Linked DNA regions of Sus scrofa. The protein of the gene in region 2 purifies or fractionates together with the protein of the main gene of each other region. This does not show direct contact. Links are inferred from orthologs where the notes say so. Each region holds a gene or a part of one and is shown on either strand. Other genes may lie near its edges. The genes, in order: PHF20, KAT8, KANSL1, MSL3 and PHF20L1.

What was found.
Region 1: the proteins of KAT8 (region 2) and PHF20 purify together in Homo sapiens (affinity purification with mass spectrometry; 3 studies listed by BioGRID and IntAct, counting the BioPlex papers as one, with this or other methods). This does not show direct contact. The link is inferred for Sus scrofa from reciprocal best matches to the Homo sapiens genes KAT8 and PHF20.
Region 3: the proteins of KAT8 (region 2) and KANSL1 purify together in Homo sapiens (affinity purification with western blotting; 4 studies listed by BioGRID and IntAct, with this or other methods). This does not show direct contact. The link is inferred for Sus scrofa from reciprocal best matches to the Homo sapiens genes KAT8 and KANSL1.
Region 4: the proteins of KAT8 (region 2) and MSL3 purify together in Homo sapiens (affinity purification with mass spectrometry; 4 studies listed by BioGRID and IntAct, with this or other methods). This does not show direct contact. The link is inferred for Sus scrofa from reciprocal best matches to the Homo sapiens genes KAT8 and MSL3.
Region 5: the proteins of KAT8 (region 2) and PHF20L1 purify together in Homo sapiens (affinity purification with mass spectrometry; 3 studies listed by BioGRID and IntAct, with this or other methods). This does not show direct contact. The link is inferred for Sus scrofa from reciprocal best matches to the Homo sapiens genes KAT8 and PHF20L1.

What each region holds. Positions count from the first base shown.
Region 1 is NC_010459.5:39,091,357-39,095,703, reverse strand, and holds the start of PHF20 (PHD finger protein 20), read right to left. Parts: upstream 2,880-4,347; 5' UTR 2,776-2,879; intron 1-2,775. UniProt on the Homo sapiens protein: Methyllysine-binding protein, component of the MOF histone acetyltransferase protein complex.
Region 2 is NC_010445.4:17,370,142-17,374,296, forward strand, and holds the start of KAT8 (histone acetyltransferase KAT8), read right to left. Parts: upstream 2,970-4,155; 5' UTR 2,952-2,969; coding exon 2,741-2,951; intron 1,316-2,740; coding exon 1,241-1,315; intron 1,161-1,240; coding exon 985-1,160; intron 1-984.
Region 3 is NC_010454.4:16,900,283-16,904,557, reverse strand, and holds the start of KANSL1 (KAT8 regulatory NSL complex subunit 1), read right to left. Parts: upstream 2,947-4,275; 5' UTR 2,820-2,946; intron 2,419-2,819; exon of another isoform or gene 2,281-2,418; intron 1,107-2,280; 5' UTR 967-1,106; intron 1-966. UniProt on the Homo sapiens protein: Non-catalytic component of the NSL histone acetyltransferase complex, a multiprotein complex that mediates histone H4 acetylation at 'Lys-5'- and 'Lys-8' (H4K5ac and H4K8ac) at transcription start sites and promotes transcription initiation.
Region 4 is NC_010461.5:8,525,755-8,529,480, forward strand, and holds part of MSL3 (male-specific lethal 3 homolog), read left to right. Parts: intron 1-1,321; coding exon 1,322-1,584; intron 1,585-2,223; coding exon 2,224-2,333; intron 2,334-3,726. UniProt on the Homo sapiens protein: Non-catalytic component of the MSL histone acetyltransferase complex, a multiprotein complex that mediates the majority of histone H4 acetylation at 'Lys-16' (H4K16ac), an epigenetic mark that prevents chromatin compaction.
Region 5 is NC_010446.5:8,465,314-8,469,797, forward strand, and holds the start of PHF20L1 (PHD finger protein 20-like protein 1), read right to left. Parts: upstream 2,982-4,484; 5' UTR 2,706-2,981; intron 2,499-2,705; exon of another isoform or gene 2,259-2,498; intron 544-2,258; exon of another isoform or gene 540-543; 5' UTR 507-539; coding exon 424-506; intron 1-423.

The DNA.
Region 1 (4,347 bases), on a different chromosome or scaffold from region 2:
TGAGAAGCACTGGTGCAGAACACTTTAAGGGTGGGACTATATATAGTAGAACACAGATAGAATACCAAATAGGCAAATAAGAGACAAAGTACCTGTTTGCTTTCTGTAAACCATATTTTATTAGGTACTGCCCAGACCTCCAACTTTTTTTAATGAATTTGTACTTACTGGTGACCATATGATCTAAATGTGGGATCTATTTTCACTTCCTGAAGTATCACAGATCTAGGGTTTTCACACACATGAAATATAAATCAACTTCGTTGTTTTGAAAATACAACGATTAATTTTATTCAAGTTCCAACACTGAGTTCAGAGCACTTCTCCACAAGCCTCAATAACTCCTACAGGTTCCTGGGAGTATCATTAAATCTCCCAGCATCCCTAAGAAGCAGGTGCTTGGCAAACATCCAATCCTCAAATGAGATTCAGAAGGACATGGTCCTGAAAATGCAGTATTTTCCTGACTTATCCTGCCAGGGTAGCTTCTCAGCCTCAAACTCTCTCCCCCACTGAGGCCTCATACAGCTGCACACTCAAGTACTTCCCAAAAAGGAGAAAGGTCAGAGGTGTCATTATCCCATAAGCACTTGAGATTCCAGCTGCGGAGAAATTAATCTGGTTAGGGTTCTGGCTGAGAAGCCCTGAGTAAAATCTGGAAAGACAGAGGGAAACACAAAAGAAAAGAACCTAGTGAGAGGCTTTTAAGAGAAAAGGGGTCTCAGACATTTGCAGATTTTAAGGTGGGGGTTAGGAGAAAGGCTAGGCAGCTAAGTGAGAGGATTACAAGGAGAGATAAATATTCATGCCCCCCACCTGTACCCCAGGAACAAGAAAAAAAGAGTGACCAGGAAATTCCTCCAAATTACCTCTTCTCCTGATAAAAGAAAGGAAGGAACCCAATGTAGGGAAGACGTTTATGAGCTGAAAGCAAAACTAAAGAATCTCGAGGGTTTTTTTCCTTTTGTTTTTTTTCCCCAATGAAGGGAAACGAAGCAAAGGAGAAAATAGTGCCCATCTAATCAGACTCTTATAGGAAGCAAACCACCAGGAAGATTAAGAACCCTGTGAATAATCAGAGAAATGCAAGGGAATTCCTTTCTGTTTAAATCCAGCCCTGGGGAGTCAGGCAGTCCTGGACTTGAGGCCACTTCCAGAGCAAGGGGAAGAAAGGGGAAAATCTGTAGAGCTACCAGCAAGCAGAACAGTTTCCAAAGGAAGAAAGAAACCAGAAAAAAAATGCCCCAGGGATAGGGCAAGCCAAAAGGAAAGAGTTCCTGTTAGCAGAAAGATAAGAGAGAAGACACAAGAAAGAAAATGTGCGGGGGGGGGGGGGGGGGGGGCGGGGAATTTAGAGGTATGAACATAGGAAGTGTGCTCAGAAAAAAAGGCCACAGAAGCATAGAAAGTGTAGGGCTGAAAAAACATATACATTCACCAAAGGAAGGAAGAGGAAATAGGTGCACTGACCAGAGAGACCAACTAAAGGGAAACGTGGTTCCAAAGAGGGAAGAAAACTGAGGACAGAAAATATCTTGGATGGCAGAAAAGCTTAAGAACCACAAACCATCCCCTGGAAATAAGAGGACTCAGAAAAAAGGTGTGCCCTCTGGATATAATAAGCATCAGAAAGGTGCCTACATCCTGCATAACCGAAGGAGTGCATGCTGTACATTTGGGGGGCACTAGAACCAAGCACACTTTAACGTAAGAAAGTAAGTCTCCCCCAGGAAATAAGGTGGTCTGATTTGGAGGACTCATGAAAAAGGATGCAACTCCAAGAAGAGAGTGACTGAAAAAAAAAAAAAAACACTGAATTCTCTTGTATAAATACAAATATGTATTCCCAAACTTCAGGATTTGAATCTCATTTTCGAGACTGGTAATGAAGTGCACGCCCAGATTTGAAGGGTTAGGAGAGGAAGCAGCCCCTACAATGAAGAAATTCTGGAAAGCACGTTACCAGATTTTGGGCCTAGAAAAGGAGATTCTTCCTTGGATTTATGGGAACATAAGTACTCCCAAAACTCTGGTTCCTGGGCTCCAGATTTTAGACTCGCTAATGGGATGAACCCCCAAATTTGAAAGGAAATGCTTATTCAACTGGAGGCTCGAAATGGGAGTGCCCTCCCAGACTGAGGGGGTCGTGGGTCAGGAGGTACATCCTCAGTTGAGGAGGCTCTACAAATTAAGATAAAACTCCATGGCTAGAGCTTAAGAAAGGGGATGCACCGACCACATTTTGCAAAACTATAGAGAAAGGGGACACTCCCATAGTCAAGGGCTTGGAGAAGGGGTGTGCTCCCCAGAATACGATAAAAGAGTCAAGAAAAGAAAACGCGTTCCCGAAGCACAAGGAAACAGCAGGGGTTGGTGGTGGAGCCCTCCGGGGCCACAGAGCTGAGGATCCAGCCCTAGCGCTTACCCCCCACCCCCAACACGGCCCGCTCCGCGCCCGGGGCCCGCACCCCGCGGCTCAGCCCCCTCGGGCGGCGCTGATTGGTCGCAGCCACTGTCACTCTCGCGGGCAGCCCTGGGGATTGGGTGCCGCTCGCACGCCCGCCACGCTCTCGACAGCGGTCCCTGGGCCTCCCTCCAGGCTGGGCAAGCTGGGCCAGGCGGGGAGCGGGGCCGGGCAGGGGACCGGAGCAGCGGTGGCGTCCGTCACCGTCCCTGCCCGCACGGCGCGCGCAAGCGCGCGCGCGCGGCGCGGGCCCGACCCGACCCGGCCCCAGCCAGCCGGCTTCGCCTCGCCGCGCCTCGCCGCGAGCTCACCTCACAGCCCCGCTCCGGCTGCGCCGCTCCAGGACCAACCGACAGAAGGGCTCTGCGTGCTGCGCACCACGTGACCCCCGGGACGCGCCCAGCGTATCCCCCGCCCCCCACACACACGCACCATCGCCACCACCGAGTGACGCAGCGCCTCAACTGCCCCGCCCTTGGCCCCGCCCCGTCCCTATCACCGTGGCGACGGCCCTGGCGGGTCACACCCACGGCCCTGACGCGCGGGAACTGGCCTGCGCCCGGATCCGAAGCACGAAGTACCGATTCGCCTGTTAATTTTGCCTCCTAAATGCATCTCGAAGCCTCCTACTTCTCTCCATCCCGCTGCCAACATTCCACTCTAGTCCACCTTAAACTCTCTTCTGGATGGTGGTTATTATCTTCTCCATCTCCTTACTCTTACCCCTTCCAATCCATTCTTCACACTCAGCTGGAGCTTTTCAAAACGCAGCTATAGTCACAGCCATCCCCTGCTCAAAACTCATTACTCACTGTTCTTCAGATTAAGATCTAAATCATCATTGTATTCTATCAGGCTTTTCAGAGTCTGTGCCTAATGTGCCTCTCTCGCATTCTCACACATTCAGATCTTAGCATCCTTCAGGTCCCCAAACAAGCCAGGTTCGTTCCTGCCTCAGGGTTTTTGCCCTCATCTCTCCTCCACTTTACCTCATTAACTTCTTGGAAAGGATTCCAATAGCTGGTGTGGAGACGAGCTGTATTCTGCCTCAAAGGATTAAGGAGGAAGCCTCAGAAGGGTCTGAGATGCTTTCCCAATGAGACTTGGGAAGTCCTAAAGAGAAATGCTAAACATTTGTTTTTTTTTAGAAAGGCAACAACGACTTTATTTTATATTGGAAAAACTGGGTCGCTAGATTGCACTTCTTAAAATGTAAATGTAATCATGTCACTCCCCCTGCTTAAAACAACCAATCTCTCCTTCAAATACTCTCCTCCCTGCTAACCCTTTGGCCACAATGACCTGCTGTCCATTTTTTTGGTTCCATTCTCTTTCCAGGTGCTAGGCCATTGACGAGGCTGTTGCTTTTGGCAAATCTGACTCTTTAAAGATCTGTTTGTCATCTTCTCAGTGAAGTCTTCTTTTTTTTTTTTTCTGTTTTTCTATTGTTATAACTATTCCAGTGAGTGTGAAGTGGTAGCACATTATGGTTTTAATTCACATTTTTTTTCTTTTTTAAAATGTATTAATTAAAGAGTAGTTGATTTACAATATTGTATTAATTTCCACTGTACAGCAAAGTGACTCAGTGATACGCATATATAGTTTTTTTTTTTTTTTTGACCAAAACTGCTGGCATGTGGGGGTTCCCAGCCAGGGATCTAACCTCTGCCACAGCTGCAACCTGTGCCACAGCTGCAGCAATGCGGATCCTTAACCTGCTGCACCACCTCCCATACATTCTCCTATACCTTCTATTATATTCTTTCCCATATTGTTTACCATGGGATATTGAATATAGTTCCCTGTGCTATACAATAGGACTTTGTTGTTTATCCATTCTATACATAATAATGCATCTGCTAACCCCAGACTCTCCTGCC
Region 2 (4,155 bases):
CTGAACTAATACAGTGATCTACTAACAGCAGTGCCCCACAGTCTGCACACCACTGCTCCAAAGCCCACAGCAAGCCATCAGAAGGATGAAATCACATGGTTTAAATAATGAATGTCTGGGTGCCTTGAGAGTTCCACGACCTCTGTTCTCATCTGCACGCCTCATTTCACAAATCAAGAAACTGAGGTTCAGAGTGGAAGGAAAGAAACCTCTGCAGGCTGGCTTCAAGAAAAAACCCAGGTTTTGCAAATAAATGGAGCTTCTAGATGTTCAAAGTTATGTCCAAGGGCGTGTGCCCCAAGTTGGACAATCTAGTTGGCAAATCTAACTCTTGACTGGGTTCTTAAACTTACCTGTACCTCTCTTGTGAACTGGGGATACAATGCTTACCTCACAGAGTTGCTGTGAAACGTCAATGAGATCAGTATTAAAACACTTATCCTGACACTGTGGCTCATAAGCCAATAAATGTTTGCCACTATTACCCTAGTTTCAGCCCACCCTTTTACTAGCAGTGTGACCTTGGGCATGTTACTTAACCTCGCTGAGCCTTCCTGCTTTCCTCAATTATTATCCCTGTGGTGCTGCGCTGTTAGGGAGGATCTGATTAGCTTGTACAGGTACCGCACTCTGCATGGCGCCTGGCAATAGCAAGTGCCCCAAATCACTCACTCTCTTCCTCCCCTTTGGACCTCACATCCATCTGTCAAGGCGGCACAGCCGAGAGGGAGGCAAAAGAGGCCACTGGTGCAAGAGGCCTGAGTTCCAGTCCCAGCTGGGCCATTTCGTTGCTGTGAGACTGTAGCCAAGCCCTTGCCATCTCTGAGCCTCAGTTTTCTTATCTGTGAAGAGGTAGGTAAAGTCCCCGACACCCGGTAGGGGGTTAAGAAATGGGAGCTGCTGTGGTTCTGGTACTGGGAGCCCAGGGAGTCTGCAGAGGCAGCTGAGCTGCCTCGAGCCGCCTGGGGAAAGGAGGGCTCGGACCTTCTGCACGTGGTTGATCTCATCGTGCTTGCGCTTTTGGTTGCGAGTGATCTTGCGCTCGGGCTGCTCAGCCAGCTCACTCAGGTACTTCTCCGAGTTCTTCTGCACGGCATCCTTCACTGTCTTGGTCAGTGCCAGCCGGTTCTTGTCTACCCATTCGTCCAGTCGCCGGTTAACTGTGAGGACGGGCCATGAGGGGGCTGCCCTTCCACCCCCATCCACCCCACCCAGACCGGGGCTACCCCAAGTCACTCACAGCCCACATAGTGTACATAGAATTCCTCTCGGCCCTCCTGATCGTTCACTCGAGACTGGATCACTTCAGCAGAATCTGTGGAGGGAGAAAAGAGCATCAAGTAAGACAGCAGGACTGGGGCAAGAGTGCTCCTTCAGGAGTTCCCACTGTGGCACAACAGGATCGGCAGTGTTTAGGGAGCACTAGGATGTAGGTTTAATCCCTGCTCCGGCACGATGGGTTAAGGATCCAGTGTAGGTTGCAATCGTGGCTCCGATCTGATCCCTGGAACTCCATACGCCACAGGGCGGCCAAAAAAAAGGATGCTCTTTCACACTGAGGAGCAGTTTCCCAGGTTCCAAGGCCAACTGTAAGCTGACCTCACCTGTTCACATCTGCCACTCCCTTCAATCACTGTCTGAGGTGGGCCAGACGGGGGCTGTTATTCTTATTTTAGAGATAAGGAAACTGAGGCTTACCCAGGCTCACCTATTTGAATAATGGTAAGAGCTAATACTTATCTGAATTTAAGTCTGGCTCCAAATTCAATACTCAGTGGTTTGTTTGTTCAGGGGTCCTGAGGACTAGCTGTGAAATAACACAGCCCCACTTCCTAGCTGTATTTAACTGAACAAGTTATTTTGGCCTTCTGAGCCTCAGCTTCTTCATCTGCAAAATAACGACAGCTGTGTCCGCCTCAAATGGTGAGTTAATGGCTCTGAAGCTTTCAGTATAGCATCTGACAAATAGCAGACCATTAAAGAAATGAGTAAGGCAACCCCTGCTTGTCTGATCCTGGGCTGGGTTGCTGCTGGGTACAGAGGATACAGTGATGGATCACAGGATGGACCTGCCCTCCAGAAGTTCCCACTTTGATAGAGGAAGACAAAGACAACATAATGGTACATATACCATGGTTCAGGTATGTAGAAAATGTTGCAGGAACACACAAAGGAACGACTCACTTTGCCTGAAGGGAGTCAAGAATGGCATCACGAGGGATATGATGCTAAAAGGATGAGTGGGGCTAGCCGGCTAAACAAGGAAAAGGGTAGGGCATTCCAAGCACAGGGCATAAGTGGTCTGAAGAGTGGACAGCGTGGTCTGGTCTGGCAACGGCCCTTACTAGGGCTGCTAAAACCAGACAGGTCACAAAGATGAAAGCCATTCTAAGGAATTCTGGGGTTAATATGGAAATGACTCAAAATAATAGAAGAAAAGGGGAAGTTCGTTTCTGTGTTCTGGGAGCTCCTCTCCGCTGGCAGCTGTCGGGGACGGATGCAAGGGGAAGTCACAGGGTCAAGGGCGACCAGTGAGGAAACGGGTTAACAAGAGAATGAAGACTAAGACTGGGCAAGGAAGTGGAGCGGGAGCTCTATACACAGCAGGAAGAATCTGGCTAACACCCGATAGGTGGGGTTTGCAGGCGGCGCCGGGGCGAGCCCGAAACTCCGCGTTCTCCCTGCTCAGGCCCCGCCCCGGCCATAAACCCCGCCCCCTGGCCCTGGGCCCCGCCCTCACGCCAGGTGCTATCCGGTCGCCGGCACAGGTACGTTTCTCCAATTTCCACGGTGACTTCCGGCTCTCCCCGCGCCGGGGTTGGCGGAGAGACGCGGCCTGGGGACGGGGCGGTCCCCTCGACCGCCGCATTCTCCCCAGGCCCGGGGTCGCCCTCCCCCGCGACCCCTGAAGTCGCCGCCGCAACGGCTGCAGCTGCTCCCTGTGCCGCCATCGCTGTAGTGGAAGTGACGCCAGAATCCGGCGCCGCACAGCGCCTTTAGTTCCGGGTCAGCGACGTGTAGCGGAGGCCGCAGTAGGCTGGAGGGTGGGGTCTGTGACGTAGCAGGCGCTCATTGGCTAGTGCGGCTGTCTCCGCGGCGCCGGACCAGATTGACGTTGACAGTGCCGGTTGCTCTGGAGTTACTTGGCTGACGTTTGGAACTGTGGCTGCACCCTGGAGTTGGAGAGCGGAGAAAGGCTTTCCGGATGTGATGTCTCAGATCGATATATATATATTTTTTGTCTTTTTTTGCTATTTATTGGGCCGCTCCCGCGGCATATGGAGGTCCCCAGGCTAGGGGTCGAATCGGAGCTGTAGCTGCCGGCCTACGCCAGAGCCACAGCAACGCTGGATCCAAGCCGCGTCTGCAACCTACACCACAGCTCATGGCAACACCGGATCGGTAACCCACTGAGCAAGGGCAGGGACCGAACCCGCAACCTCATGGATTCGTTAACCACTGCGCCACGACGGGAACTCCTCAGATCGATCTTTTAAAAGGCCCTGGTGCCTGAGAAAGCCAGGATATGCCAATTATCAGGGAGCACTGCCTCCACTTTACCAGGGCGGAGCCAGAGCAGCCTCCCTGGCTGTCTGGCTTTAGAGGTGAGCCTGGAACTAACACCCACCCCCCCCCTTCCGCCAGCCACATACAGGTCATCCCGTTTTTGAAGATTGAAGAACCTTCCTTCTTTGTTTAGGATGGGAAAAGGAGACAGTTGGGGTGGGGGAAGCAGAACGGTGTATCCTGGGACAGCTAGTAAACCACTCTCACAGTATCAAGCCTTTGTAAAGAAAGGGTCAGGTCCCCTAAACAGAAACTGGCCAAAGGCAGTGGACATAATGGAGAGCGTCTTGGACTGAGTGAATTAGGAATCCTGGGTTCTGACCCAACTCGGGAAGGTGTAGAAATGTGTTTGTTCCAAGAGCATAGTCAAAGATGAAACTATAAGTCAAGTATCTCTATAAAGGTTGAACCATATAGATATATATAGATATATCCCATGAATATAAAACAAGTATATTGAGCAATGCCAGGCAGAGTACGTGCTCAATTAAACCCTCCCTTTGGCCACTGTGAGTCATCTTTGACTTATAACTTGGTTATTGGGCTTAAAACAATTCTAAGAGAAGTGGAATGCTTAAGGTCTAAGTC
Region 3 (4,275 bases), on a different chromosome or scaffold from region 2:
TAAAAATTTCCCACAATCCAAATATTTAGTTTATAGAGACTGCATTAACCTCTGATTTATTCACCGCATTAATTTGGAATTCCACAGAGCAGATACCACAAAACAATCTTAGCCACACTAGAATCTAGCTCTAGAAGAAGGCAACCTGTACCACCTGTAAGCTGGTGGGGGCCTTGCATCATTCCATACTTTTCTCTCCATCCTCCCTCCCTGTTTCCTCCTACATGTATCTTAAGCTTGTCCTCTGCTTAGTTCTAGTGGAGAGAGTCCTTTGGCCATCTACGTACAAGAAACTAGAAGTAACAAGAGACTGGAGAACCACCACATCAATAAGAGCTTTTTCATGTGTCCACACTGCCCCAAAGAGGTTTATCCTATGAGATGAAAATTGGCACAAAGTGCTACCTGTTGAGAAAAACAGTATAAATTCACATGCAAAGGACTAGGAAGTAGCAGGAGAACCCTCCGACAGACTATACACGTAGAGGAACAGGTCTTAGAATGTTCTAATACACTAAAATGAAGTTTCAGAGTAAACAAATGGTTAGTGACACATCTTTTGTAACACATGAATCAGCTTCAGATTTGCAAGAGTGGGACACACCCTAGCACCTATGACACTAAAGCACTCGTTTGAAAGTGGACCTGGCTGTTTGAATTGCCATCCATCCTACTGAGATTGGGAACACAGTTTTATAAGTTTGTAGGCTGTCATAATTTAAAGTCAAAAATAAACACATTATTGTAATCTGAGAATATCAGTAGTTAAGAACAGTAGCAACACAAAGTAAAGAGGAACTGATCAATCCTCAGAAGCAAACACAACAGCAGTTTTTTCAAGGGAAAGGCGAACTGCAAATTCAAGAATTAGAAAATCCTCAATTCTAAAGAAAAAGAAATACAGTGAGACCTTTAATTAAAACAAACAAACAAACAACAAACAAAAAAAACCCACACACATCTTACCTTAAGAGGCATCCAAACAGCATTCATAGTGTCAGGAATAGTTCAGACAATACTCAGAAATGAGCAAGAAGGAGTCTTAGTAACCCCTCTGTCACCAAGTATGAGCAGGTAGGAAAAATTTTTTTGTTTCAAGAAGGTATCTGAAAGAGAAGACTTTCATTTAGATTAAAAAATAATCAAGAATAAGCAAACAGTTTAAGTTATCTGCTTTTTTTCGGGGGGGGGGGAGGGGCGGCGGACTCATGGCATATGGAAGTTCCCAGGCTAGGGGTCGAAGCAGAGTTGTATGCTAGTCAGATTCATTAACTGCTGAGCCACAATGGAACTCCAGTTTAAGCTATCTGGACAGAGAGTTGAAGTACTATTTGCTCACCATCTTAAAAAGATGTAGAAAATACCATCCCCTTTGGAAAGGGGCAAATGTGTGTGATATATGCATCTCCATACATACGCAGAAATATATTTTTACATAAAATTGGATTAAATATGTAACACATATTTTAGATAATACAAAAATTGGTTATCAAATAATTAGAAAACCAAAACCATTTTCCCCAGACAGAAAGATGATTAGCCAAGGTATTTCATAAGCACTATTAAAAAGTAACTTGTTAATAGATCACCTAAAAAAGACCCTTTAATTTCACTTAATAAATCAAACCTCTCTGATCATTCTGATTGTCCTAAATTTCCTTAAGTTTAAGTTGCAGAGCCCATTCTACATGAAAAATACAATCCATTCTTGATCGAAGTGTTATAAACAAATAAGAGATCTTTCTTGCCTAGAGATCTTTAAAAGCAGACCAAATAACTTAATTCTGGGGATGGGAGGGAGGCAGGGTTGTCTGGAGGCAGGAGGATGGATTAAATGACCTCTTGTAGGATCCCTGTTCAAGTCCTAGGCCTGAATGAAAATTCCAGCTTAACCAGTTACTGTTTTACTTAAAATGGAGGCTTGCCCGAATAGGGACAAAAATACAGCACCCACCTCTCTAAAATAAATGTTTAAAATTTAAAGACTATAGTACCCTCATTTCTAAGAAAAATTAAAAATAAAACCTCTGGAGTGGATTTGTTCTTGCTATGCGTTTATCACAGCAGCTTCGAAGACTTGGCATCACTTTCCTCACCGCTCGTCGGATTGGGGAGGGGTTAGGTGGGGGGGGGGGCAGTTTGACTCTTGACCCAGTCTCGGGAGGGTTTAAGCCACTCCATGATCTCCACCGCAAAAGCAAACCGGTGAGGAGAAGGGGACAGCTCGAGTTCCCACCCCTCCCCCACCTTGGACCCTAGTCCCAAACCTACCCCCCTCACCTTCCCGCAGTGGGGCGACTCCTTCCTGGCCCAAACCCATTGTTGGGAAGGGGACGATAAGGAGAGTGGGCTCTGAGCAGAGGCGCCTGTGGCGGTTGCCCTGACTCGCTTCAGGAGGGGGCGGCCCGCAGGATGCAGCTTCCCGTCCTCTCCGCGTCGGTCCGTCCCACCTCGGCTCGGCCTGGCGCTCCGGGCTCTGCTCGGCGCCCCCATCCCCGGGCCCGGCCCAACCCGCCCCCTGAGCACCAGGCCCCGGCCCCTCAGCCGGGAGCCCGCAGCCCAGGCCTGCGGGTGGGCGCGGGGCGGGGGTCCCTATGCCCCCCACACACACGTCCCCTCTCCCCCAGCCCAGCCGTTTCCAGGGCCCTCGGCGGCGCCCGCTCCCCGGGCCCGTCGGCTCCCCGCCTCCCGGCCGGGGCGCCCCCTCGGCCTCCAGAGGTCGAGGCCGCCTCTTCTTCCCCACCATCACCCCTACCGACTTGTGCCCCCACCCCCCCGGGCACCAGTGCCAACGGCGGCTACCCCGGCCCCGGACCTACCTGCACGGCTCAACCAAGCCTAGAAGTGGGGGCGGGGAAATCTTCCGCCCTCCTCTGTCTCTCATTGGCCTTTCCGGGGGACATCGGGGGCTCCATTGGCTAATGGTGGATGTCCGTCAGAGCGGTGGGGCGGGACAGAGGGGGAGAGGGATGCTGGTGCCTTGGCGTCTCTGTCTCTCTATCTCGCTGTCTCTGTCTCGGCTCTTGGAAACAAGAGACATTTGGATAGGAGGACTGGAAGGGGGCCTCAGGTGGAAGGAAAAGAAATAGAAATGCTGGCAGAGCTTCCCATCAGTATGCCACTCTGAACCCCCACCTAAGTCCCCTTTAGATCCTCTTCTCCATCACCCCCAACCCCAGCCCCTCACCCTTGTAGGTTCTTCATCCAGGAAGCTACATGATGAAAAGTTGAGGCCGGAAGGCCATGAGAGGAAATTTCATATATGTATATAAAATATACACATACAAATACTTATATATAAAGTCAACCGGATATAAGGTTATGAGAGCCAGGAGAGGAAAAGGCACACATCTCAGACAAGGAAGGGCTTGAGATATAGCCAATATAAGAAAGAATCAAAAATCGCTCTAAGAACTGGTAACAGTGGTTTCCTCCTGGGAGGGGAGCTGAGGGGAACAGGTGGGAGCAAGACTTACATTTCACTGCATATCCTTTTGCAGCTTTCGATTTTTGTACCATTCACAAAGATTCCCATTTTTTGGAAATTAATTGGCTTAAATTTTGAAATAATCATAAGGTTGCAAAACCAGGGGGACAGATAAGATGGTAGTCCAGGCAAAGTGGGACAACATGCAGAATTGGGAAGAAATCTTAGTTTTTAATATGTCCAGTCCCAGCTACCAGTAGTAAAACCAAGTGAATGTGTCCCAGAGGCTACTAGAGCTATGGAACTTGGGAAAGGGTGGATAATCTGGAATAAGGGAGATTTAGAGCTCTCCACCTAAATATAGTGATCAATGGCAGGCTAAAAGATTAAACTCCTGATAGAAATTTAAAAGACACCCACAATAAAAGTCAGGAGTGGGAAAAGAAACAGAAAGAGAGTCCGTGAGATAAGAAAAACAGAATAATGAAAGTATTCTTACCAACAGAGGTATGAAAGTTAAGGGAGGGAGGGTCTCTGGAAAGAAAAAAATAATAAAACTATGAGAGCCTCACAGGTCTTACAACTCACTTCAGAGACCCTCTTTAGTCTTACTCAATAAGAATGAAAACAAAGAGAATACCCAAAAAGTAGAGTTCTTAACCTTTTCAAACCATGTACCCTTCTCAGAATGTTTTTAAATGCATAATAAACATATGCAGGAATTCAAAGAAAACCAGTAATAGCAAAATACAATTTTCAAAATATCTTTTAAAGTGTAGCATAGTAATATATGTGCTTTATAGTAAATGCATTCAATAATAAGATCAATGGGGGAGGGATAGTAGGAG
Region 4 (3,726 bases), on a different chromosome or scaffold from region 2:
TTCGGCATTGCTGTGAGCGGTGGTGTAGGTCGCAGACGGGGCTCGGATCCTGCATTGCTGTGGCTCTGGCACAGGCTGGCGACTACAGCTCCGATTCGACCCCTAGCCTGGGAACCTCCATATGCTGTGGGAGTGGCCCTAGAAAAGGCAAAGAGACAAGAAAATAAAAAATAAAAAGTACCCTGTAAAAAAAAAAAAAAGAAAAGAAAAAAAGAAAGAACATTGGCTTCCGCAGATAGTTATTAAATGAGGAAGTTTGCGAAGGTCCAGCCACCTTTGGCCTTCAAGGAGGGGTTAGTTTCCTTCCCGCTCTGCTGTGTCACCACTTTCTTCCCTCGGTGACCCAGCATGCCCACATCTCTATTCTTTGGGGGGAACAAAAGTCCCCCCCACCTACCGTCAGCTACTTCCCTATCTGCCTAAGGCCTCTCTTCCCGAGTGAGAGAGTGGTCCCGTCTCGTGATTGCCACTCAGCCCTCTCTTCTTGGGTGTTTAGGGTCTGCCTTTGTGTCCCACCTCCCTCTGCTCCCCAGGGCACTGGCGCCTTCCCATTTGCCGCACCCCGCGTCGGTCACCCTCCCCTTCCCAGGGGGCCTGTCTCCTGGTTCTCGGTCTGCCTCCTGGCCGTCTCTTCTCAGCCCACTTTCCTTCCCCGTTGATTCCGCCCCCCTGGAGAGGCCCATGTGACTCACTGGGGACCTCTGTGGATGTCCCTCTGCCCTGCTCGCAACCTTGAGGTTCCCAGTGTCTGGGGTGGACTGTGTGTTTCTGCAAAGCTTGGGCAGCGTGGGCGGCGTCTCCTGTCCTCTCTCCGTGGTTCCGTGGCGCTGGGACAGTGTGGAATTCTTCCTCTCTCGCCCGGGCTTTCTCAGCCTCGGCTTTCCTGGTGTTTTGACCTGTGTCGCCCTTGGCAGTGGGCCGCCCTGTGCACTCTGGGCTGCTGTGCTGCATGCCGGGCTTCTCCCGCATTGGATGCCCGTCGCGTTTTTCTGGTCGTGACAGTCCGAGCTCTTCGGAGGGTGTCAGTGTCCCTGGCAGAGTGGAATCACTGCCTACTGAGACCCCTAGGAAGGGGCACCACCGTCTTAAATGCCAGTGTGCCTTGAAGAGTCACTGAGAGCATTCAAGCGACAGAGTGTGTGTCCTGTTACTTTTTAAGAAAAATCCCTGTTTTGGCCCATTTGGAAGTGAGTTTCTGGCCCTGCTGGGGCGGAGTGGCCGGTGCGCTTACTGTCTGGAGGAGGACACTGCGGATTCCCTCCAGGTCTGGCAGCAACTCGGCAGGCCAGGCACCTGTCACGTTTTGCGCTTTCTTCCCTAGGAACCAGGAGGAGCTCTCGCCAAGCCCACCTTTGTTGAATCCGTCCACACCACAGTCCACGGAGAGCCAGCCAACCACCGGCGAGCCAGCCACCCCCAAGAGGCGCAAAGCCGAGCCCGAAGCCTTGCAGTCCCTGAGGCGGTCCACGCGCCACTCCGCCAACTGCGACAGGCTGTCTGAGAGCAGCGCCTCTCCTCAGCCCAAGCGCCGGCAGCAGGACACGTCGGCCAGCATGCCCAAGCTCTTCCTCCACCTGGAAAAGAGTAGGTCCCTCCCCCGGGCGGACAGAGCGGACGTCTCCTTCGTGCTTGGGCTGGGCCTGGCCCTGCGCTGCGGGAAGGAGTCCGGCGGCAGGAGGGGCTGGGGAAGCACGGGCCGAGCACGCGGTCCCAGCCAGACTCGCCAGCTCGGCTGCGGGAACTCGACTTGGGAGGGTGGCCTGCCGGAGGCTCCCGAGGCACATGCCCTCATCGGCAGTCAGCTGGGCGAAGGCAGCTCGCCCAGGCCTTCAGCTCAGCGCGGCTCAGGAGGCCGTTGGCAGTGCCTCCCTATGCCCCCATCCCAGCCCTAATCTGTCACATGAGGCAGCCACTCCTCCCTTCTTGTTCCTATGCATTCGCCTCTTCTGGGCCTGAATTCCTCTCCGTGGAATCAGACAGTACGTGGCCTTTGGTCTGTGGCTTCTTTCTCTTGCCATAACGTGTTCCGGGTTCATCACGTTGCAGCATGTATCCCTACTTGACGCCTTTTCTTTCCTTTTTCCCCACCAAATAATAGTCCAGGGACCGTCTTTCATCGGAAGGTCTTACTGTTACAGATGAATACGTTCCCTGTTGTTGGTAATAGTCTGGCAGCAGCCCTGTGATTTACAGGTGAATAACCAACATTGTTTCCTTTTGAAGAGACGCCTGTTCATAGCAGATCTTCCTCGCCTGTTCCTCTAACCCCCAGCAAGGAAGGGAGCACGGTGTTTGCTGGCTTTGAAGGCAGAAGAACTAATGAAATCAATGAGGTAAAGCGTTCGTGTCTGTTGTTCATCCCCAGCGAGTCTTGGCTCCCGCAGTTGCTCAAGTCCCGGGGAGGAAACAGAGTCTCCTTAGAAGAAACATTATGTCGCACTTGCCCTGGATGTTAACAGAAGGGTTCACACGAAGTGTGACATTGTGTTCATTGTGTCTAAGATGAAACAGTGGTCCGGACACCAGCCCTACACTTAACGCTCATCTTTTGTTTCAGAGAAGTAGGAGTGTTTTCATTTTATAGAACAGTTGTCAGCACACTTTTTCTGCAAAAGGCCAGGGGCTAGATATTTTAAAGCTTGTGGGCCACACGGTTGCCATCAAGACGCCCCCCAGCTCCACAGCAGGTGTAGACACTATATGTAAGTGAATGAGTGTGTCGTGTCACAATAGCATGTTATTGATGGATGCTGAAATTTGAATATCAGATAATTTTTGTAAGTTATGAGATAATATTCTGCTTTGGGTATTTTTCCAACCATTTAAAAATATAAAACCCATCCTTAACAGTAATATTTTTAAGGCCAGTTAACTGAAGCGGATAGCGTTTCAGGAGTTCCGGAGATGCCTTCGTTCGCTGGGCTGTCCTGTTAATCTTGCTGAGGGGGTGGAGCTTCCTTGCTTCTGTACACAGACAAAGACGGCTTTGCTACACCGAATGTTTGATGACGGGGTTTCGGCAAACTTTTCTTATAAAAGGTCTGATTGAATATTTTCGGGGTTGTGCACCAGTGTGAAGGCGGTGTGGACAGTTCACAAATGAGCAGGTGTTCTGTGTGCCCCCCCCCCCGATTCATTCATGCACGCTGGTGATCGAATTGCATAGGATTTTCATATGTTGTGAAATATTATTTGATTTTTTGAACTATTTATAAACATAACTTTTAGCACACGCAGGTTGGATTTGGCACAAGGGCTGTTAAGTTGGCTGACCCCTGACAGAAAACCCAGTTTGTGTTACAGTGGTGTTTAACGAAGGTTAGGAAATTTCTGCTACAAGCAGTCACTAATATCCCGTTTTTTGAGACAAGAAGGCCCTGCCCGTGCTATTATTCAAGGGGAGTCCTCTTTCTCAACGTGTGACTATTGAGGCAGGGCCATTCCCACTCTGGTCACTGGCGCAAGGCCACCATCTAGTGGTTGTAGGCACAGCTGCAAGCGCTCGCGAAGAAGTAGGATTTTCCTAGTAAACAGTCGGAATCAGGGGGGCTCTCACAGTGATGCTCGAGACCTTAGTGCTTTCCCCGCTCTGCAAGTGCTTCGGCTGCAGCCTCCTTTTAACCAGGGCTCTGCACACTGACCACCTGAGACTCTCCCAGTGGTCTTTGCTGCCCCGTCGCATCAGGGGGAAGTCTGGACTTGCACATTCCTGGCTGGGATCACAGC
Region 5 (4,484 bases), on a different chromosome or scaffold from region 2:
ATTACTCACTTAAAGCTGGAAGTAGTAACAACCTGTCTTTAGGATGGTGCTCTGGGGAAGGAGAAGATAAATGGGGTTTTGGTTTTAGATGCTAACCGTCAACACACGCTATGGTTTGAAAGACCACCTCTGACAAAGGCCAAGAAAAGGGGTTTATATCGAACTTTATCCACGACTTGGGAACGTGGTTATCTGGATTAATCCTCTCCCTCCCACTACCAAAGAGAGTTCATATTAAGTACACACAAGGACTGATACCTGTGAAAATCTGTTGAAGAGCAGGAAAGCTAAAATACAATGTATATGTTTATTCGAAATCTGAACACTTTAATGTTTCTGCCACTGTCAGGAGAAGAGCAATTAGCCAACCCACTGAGACAGCAGACACTGTGCGTTAAGGCAAGAGCTCCTTATCTTCCATACCATTTTTGTAAGTAGTCCAGTGCCTCCAAACGAGCACCAATCTCAAAAGTGATTCCAGGACGATTTGGGGGCTTTTTACTCATCTTGAGATCCTATTCTTCAGGATTCTCTTTTCACTACCTCAAGAGAAAAAAAAAAAAGTTAGACTCTGATGCATAAAAGGCATAAGGAATTAAACAGAATTTAAAAAAATTACATGAGAGTTTAAAATAACTGTGCAGTTTTTTGGAAATTTGAATGATGATTATAAGTATCTCTAGGTAAAGTATGGAACAACTTACAATCTTAATACTGAATTAAGAAAAAGCATATTAGAAAGATAACTATTTTAAAAGAATGACTAGATGGGGTTAAAATTAGCTAATGGCTAAAACGCTTTAAATTTTAACTTGAAAACGCCCAAGAAAATTCTCCATGATAATGGGTGAAAATGTTTCCATCTTTGAAAAGTCATGACCACTGAGTGTTCTGGAATATGACTACTGAAATTCTTAGAAAAAGTTAACCAAGTTTTTCAACAAATATTTATTTAAGTGGCTTATAATACAAAACACTTAATAAGACACTAAAGAGTACAAAAAAGGAAGAAGCAGTAGACACTCCTCCTCTAGTGATGATTTTAATAATTCCTCTTGTGATTAGGGTTTATCATTACCTGTGATCTCCCATATTGGTAGCATATGATTCAACGATTTTAATTTAACATATAAAGTTGCAAAGGAAATTCCCTTCTAATTCTTCACATTCAATAACCAACAAGGATATGGATTTTTTTAGCTCTGAGAATTTATTTCCACTATATTTCAATATAAACAGTGCTCACACTGTCAGTAAAAGGGCTGTACGTTTAAACAAACAAGAAGCTACAAAGGAATACTTATTCCTTCCTAGACCATGGACATGTGGAATATCCACTATCCTTTTGGCCAGTGGCTGCCCAGCATTATCTGAGGGAGCCTCTTTTTCACTAACCAGCACCTGAAACATATGAATGCGTTATAAGCTAGCCATCAAAATATAACACCCAGTCAGGAAAGCAAACCTACTGTTACTGGGGGAGAGGAAAAATCCCTAAAACCTTTTTGATATTTAGAATTATTAATAAGACTATGCTCCCTCTCAGTTTTAAAAAGAAAACACACAACTGTGTCGTGTTTTTTCAGGGGTTTAAAAGGGACAAACACCAACAGCAAATATAAAAACCAAAACTGCCTTTTCCTCTTTCAAAGAATCTGACAGACGAAGGAAAACAAGTGCAAAATACATGCCAAATACAACCCCAATACATGCCATAAAAACATGTTAAGATCAAACTTAAACACTCATGGGGAGGTGGGGAGGAGGGCGGGGGAAGCTATGCTCCTGCCTGCCTTGGCAGCAGCAAAAACCAGTGCATTAAAGTTAACAGTAAGCTCAGCCAGACGGCATCTGGTGTAAAAGAAACAATAGTATGAATATTTTTATTAGCGGTCTGATCAGTGTGCAACATACAAAGCAGTTACTTAAATGTTTGTGTAGAAATCTAATCCATTTTTTCTGCTGTTCTTCACAGAAAGAACTTAGTAAGGGGTAATCTACCAGTTACACGAACATTTTCTAGGATCAAATATAGAACCCATAGAAGTGACAAGAGTTAAGGCATATAACCGCCGCAGTGATACTTCGGGATGAGGCACCAGAACAGGCAAGATTTCCTTTTTCTTGGCTGGAGAGGGGAGGATGGGGAGGGATTTGAATTAAGAAAAAGTAAGACAAAGTAAGAGAGTCTATTGGGGACAGCCTTGAAGCAAAAACAGAAAAGGGGACATAGGAAAGGGGAGAGAAATAAAATCGGGAAGGAAAACGAACAAGAAAGCAAAAATACGTCAGGGTGGTGAAACTTGCGGACATGACAAACGAGAGGAAAGAGAAAATTAGCAAGAAGATACAACGCTGGGAAAGTAAAACGTTGGTCAAAGAACAGCCGCGAGGCCAAATAAAGGGGGAGAGGTGATAGGGGTGGGAGGGGGTTGGCCAGAAATAGACCAGAAAGGCTCAGACCCGGCCCGCAAGCGGGGAGCAGGAGAAGCCTCCAGGTTTGACAGCCCTCCGGCCCTCCGAAGGGGGGAAGGAAGGGAGGGGTAGAGGGAGCGGCAGAGCCCAGACAATAGGGGCGGCGAGTTAAGGGGAGGGATGAGGGAGGGGAGCGGGCCCAAGAGAGACACCAGCGCGGGGGTGTCCCTGGCGGCCAGGAGGGAGCCAAGCGGCAGCCAGGCCCTGCCGCCGCCGCCGCCGCCTCTTACCGACTCGGCCTCCTCTTTGCACAGTTGCCGGGCCGTCCGGGGCCGAGCCGGGGCGCAAACAGGACGGCCAGCCCGGGCCTCCGCCTCCGCCCGGGCAGCGGTCGGGGAGCGAGCAGGAGCGGAGCGCGCTGGGACCGCAGCGCTGGGTCGGGCCCGAGGTCGCGCGGGAGGGAGCAGGTCCGAGCCCTTCAAGCCCGCTCGGTGTCCACTGCCATCGCCTCCTCCGCCGCCGCCGCCGCCGCCGGCCAGCCCTGACGCGACGCCGGGCCCCGGCGACGTCAGCCGCCCGCGACGCGCCGGAAGCGGGCCTGGCCGTGTCACGTGACGCGCGAGGGTTGGGCCGGGGCGGGGCGGCCGATTGGAGGGCCGCCCTGGGAGGCGGGGCTATGCGGCAGTTGGCTGGTCGCTAGTGGGAGGAGCCCTGGTTCGCGACGGAAGGAACGCGGGCTCCGGGACCCCATTGGCAGTTGTGAAATCTTTTGACATTTGAGTGATGAGGTCGAAGCCCATCGAATGCTACTGTTGTTGATTTGTGAGGAACCAGGTTGTCAAAATGCCTCAATCCCAGCGTTCTGGGCAAACTTTTGTAAATGCGCATTTTCTCAGCTATCCACCCCATTCCACATTAAGAATAGAGCAAGTGGTTACTGTTACGAAATAAGGAAACTTCTACTGAATGAATACTTTGTGACAGGCACTGCGCTGTAAGTACATCACATGACAACCACAATCGCACAATTGTATTGCTCTGTAGTCTAGGAGATCCTTAGAACACAAAAGGCAAATATTCCTAAGACATTCTGTGTGGGGGTGCGTGCATGTACACATGCAGCTGAAGATCTTCGGTTAAATTGATGTGACTTTCCCAAAGACACAACTACTCTTCTTGAACACCTGTCATATCCCAAACTCTGTACTAGGCACACTGTAGGGGAAACCAACAAGTGAACACATTTAAAACAATATTGAAATGCAGCATCTTTAATCACTCTCTTTCCATGGTGCTACTCTAGTTCTCAAGCTTTCTAAATACAACATTGCATAAAAATAACACATTTATCATGCTTTACAGAGTGGAGTTAAAATAGCATAGTATCACTCTTTAAGCTTCAATTATAGTGAGATTCAGTAATTTAAACAACCACACTCATATCCTTTTATTCAACACATTTAATCAGCACTTACTGTGTTACTAATAGCTACTGAATTAGACTTGAGCATGGCAGTATAGAAAACATAAATAAAGACAGTGTCTAGTGGACTTACGTCTTCTTAGTTTTTGGTTGCCGGGCATTTGAAATAATCAATTCCCCATGTTTGGGAAATTTCCCATCATAGTTGCAATTAATGGCAGTACTCCATATCTTTCCAGAATCTTCTGTACACACGGCAGGATAATACTTTACACCCTCCTTAGAATTATGTATGACCATCTGATTTGCTTTGGCTAATAAAATGAAATTGGAGGCAAATTTTTTTATGGCCAGTTGCTAATTTAAAAAGCCAGTTCTCCCAGCTTTCTGTCTCTGGCAAAGCAAAAGGCAATTTTTGACATGGTGGCTGCTCTAACAACCCATGTTCTAAATGGATTATGATGATGCTGATGCTAAGCCACAAGTGATGTGTAGTATAAGGAAAAAAGTCAATATTTGTTGGTTTGAGATATTGAAATTGTTTGTTGCACAGAATAACCTAATGCAAACTGACATATACTTCCACCTTATGAGTCTTGGGGCAAAGTGAACCTCACACTAAATAGGGTGAAAATGTAGAAAACAA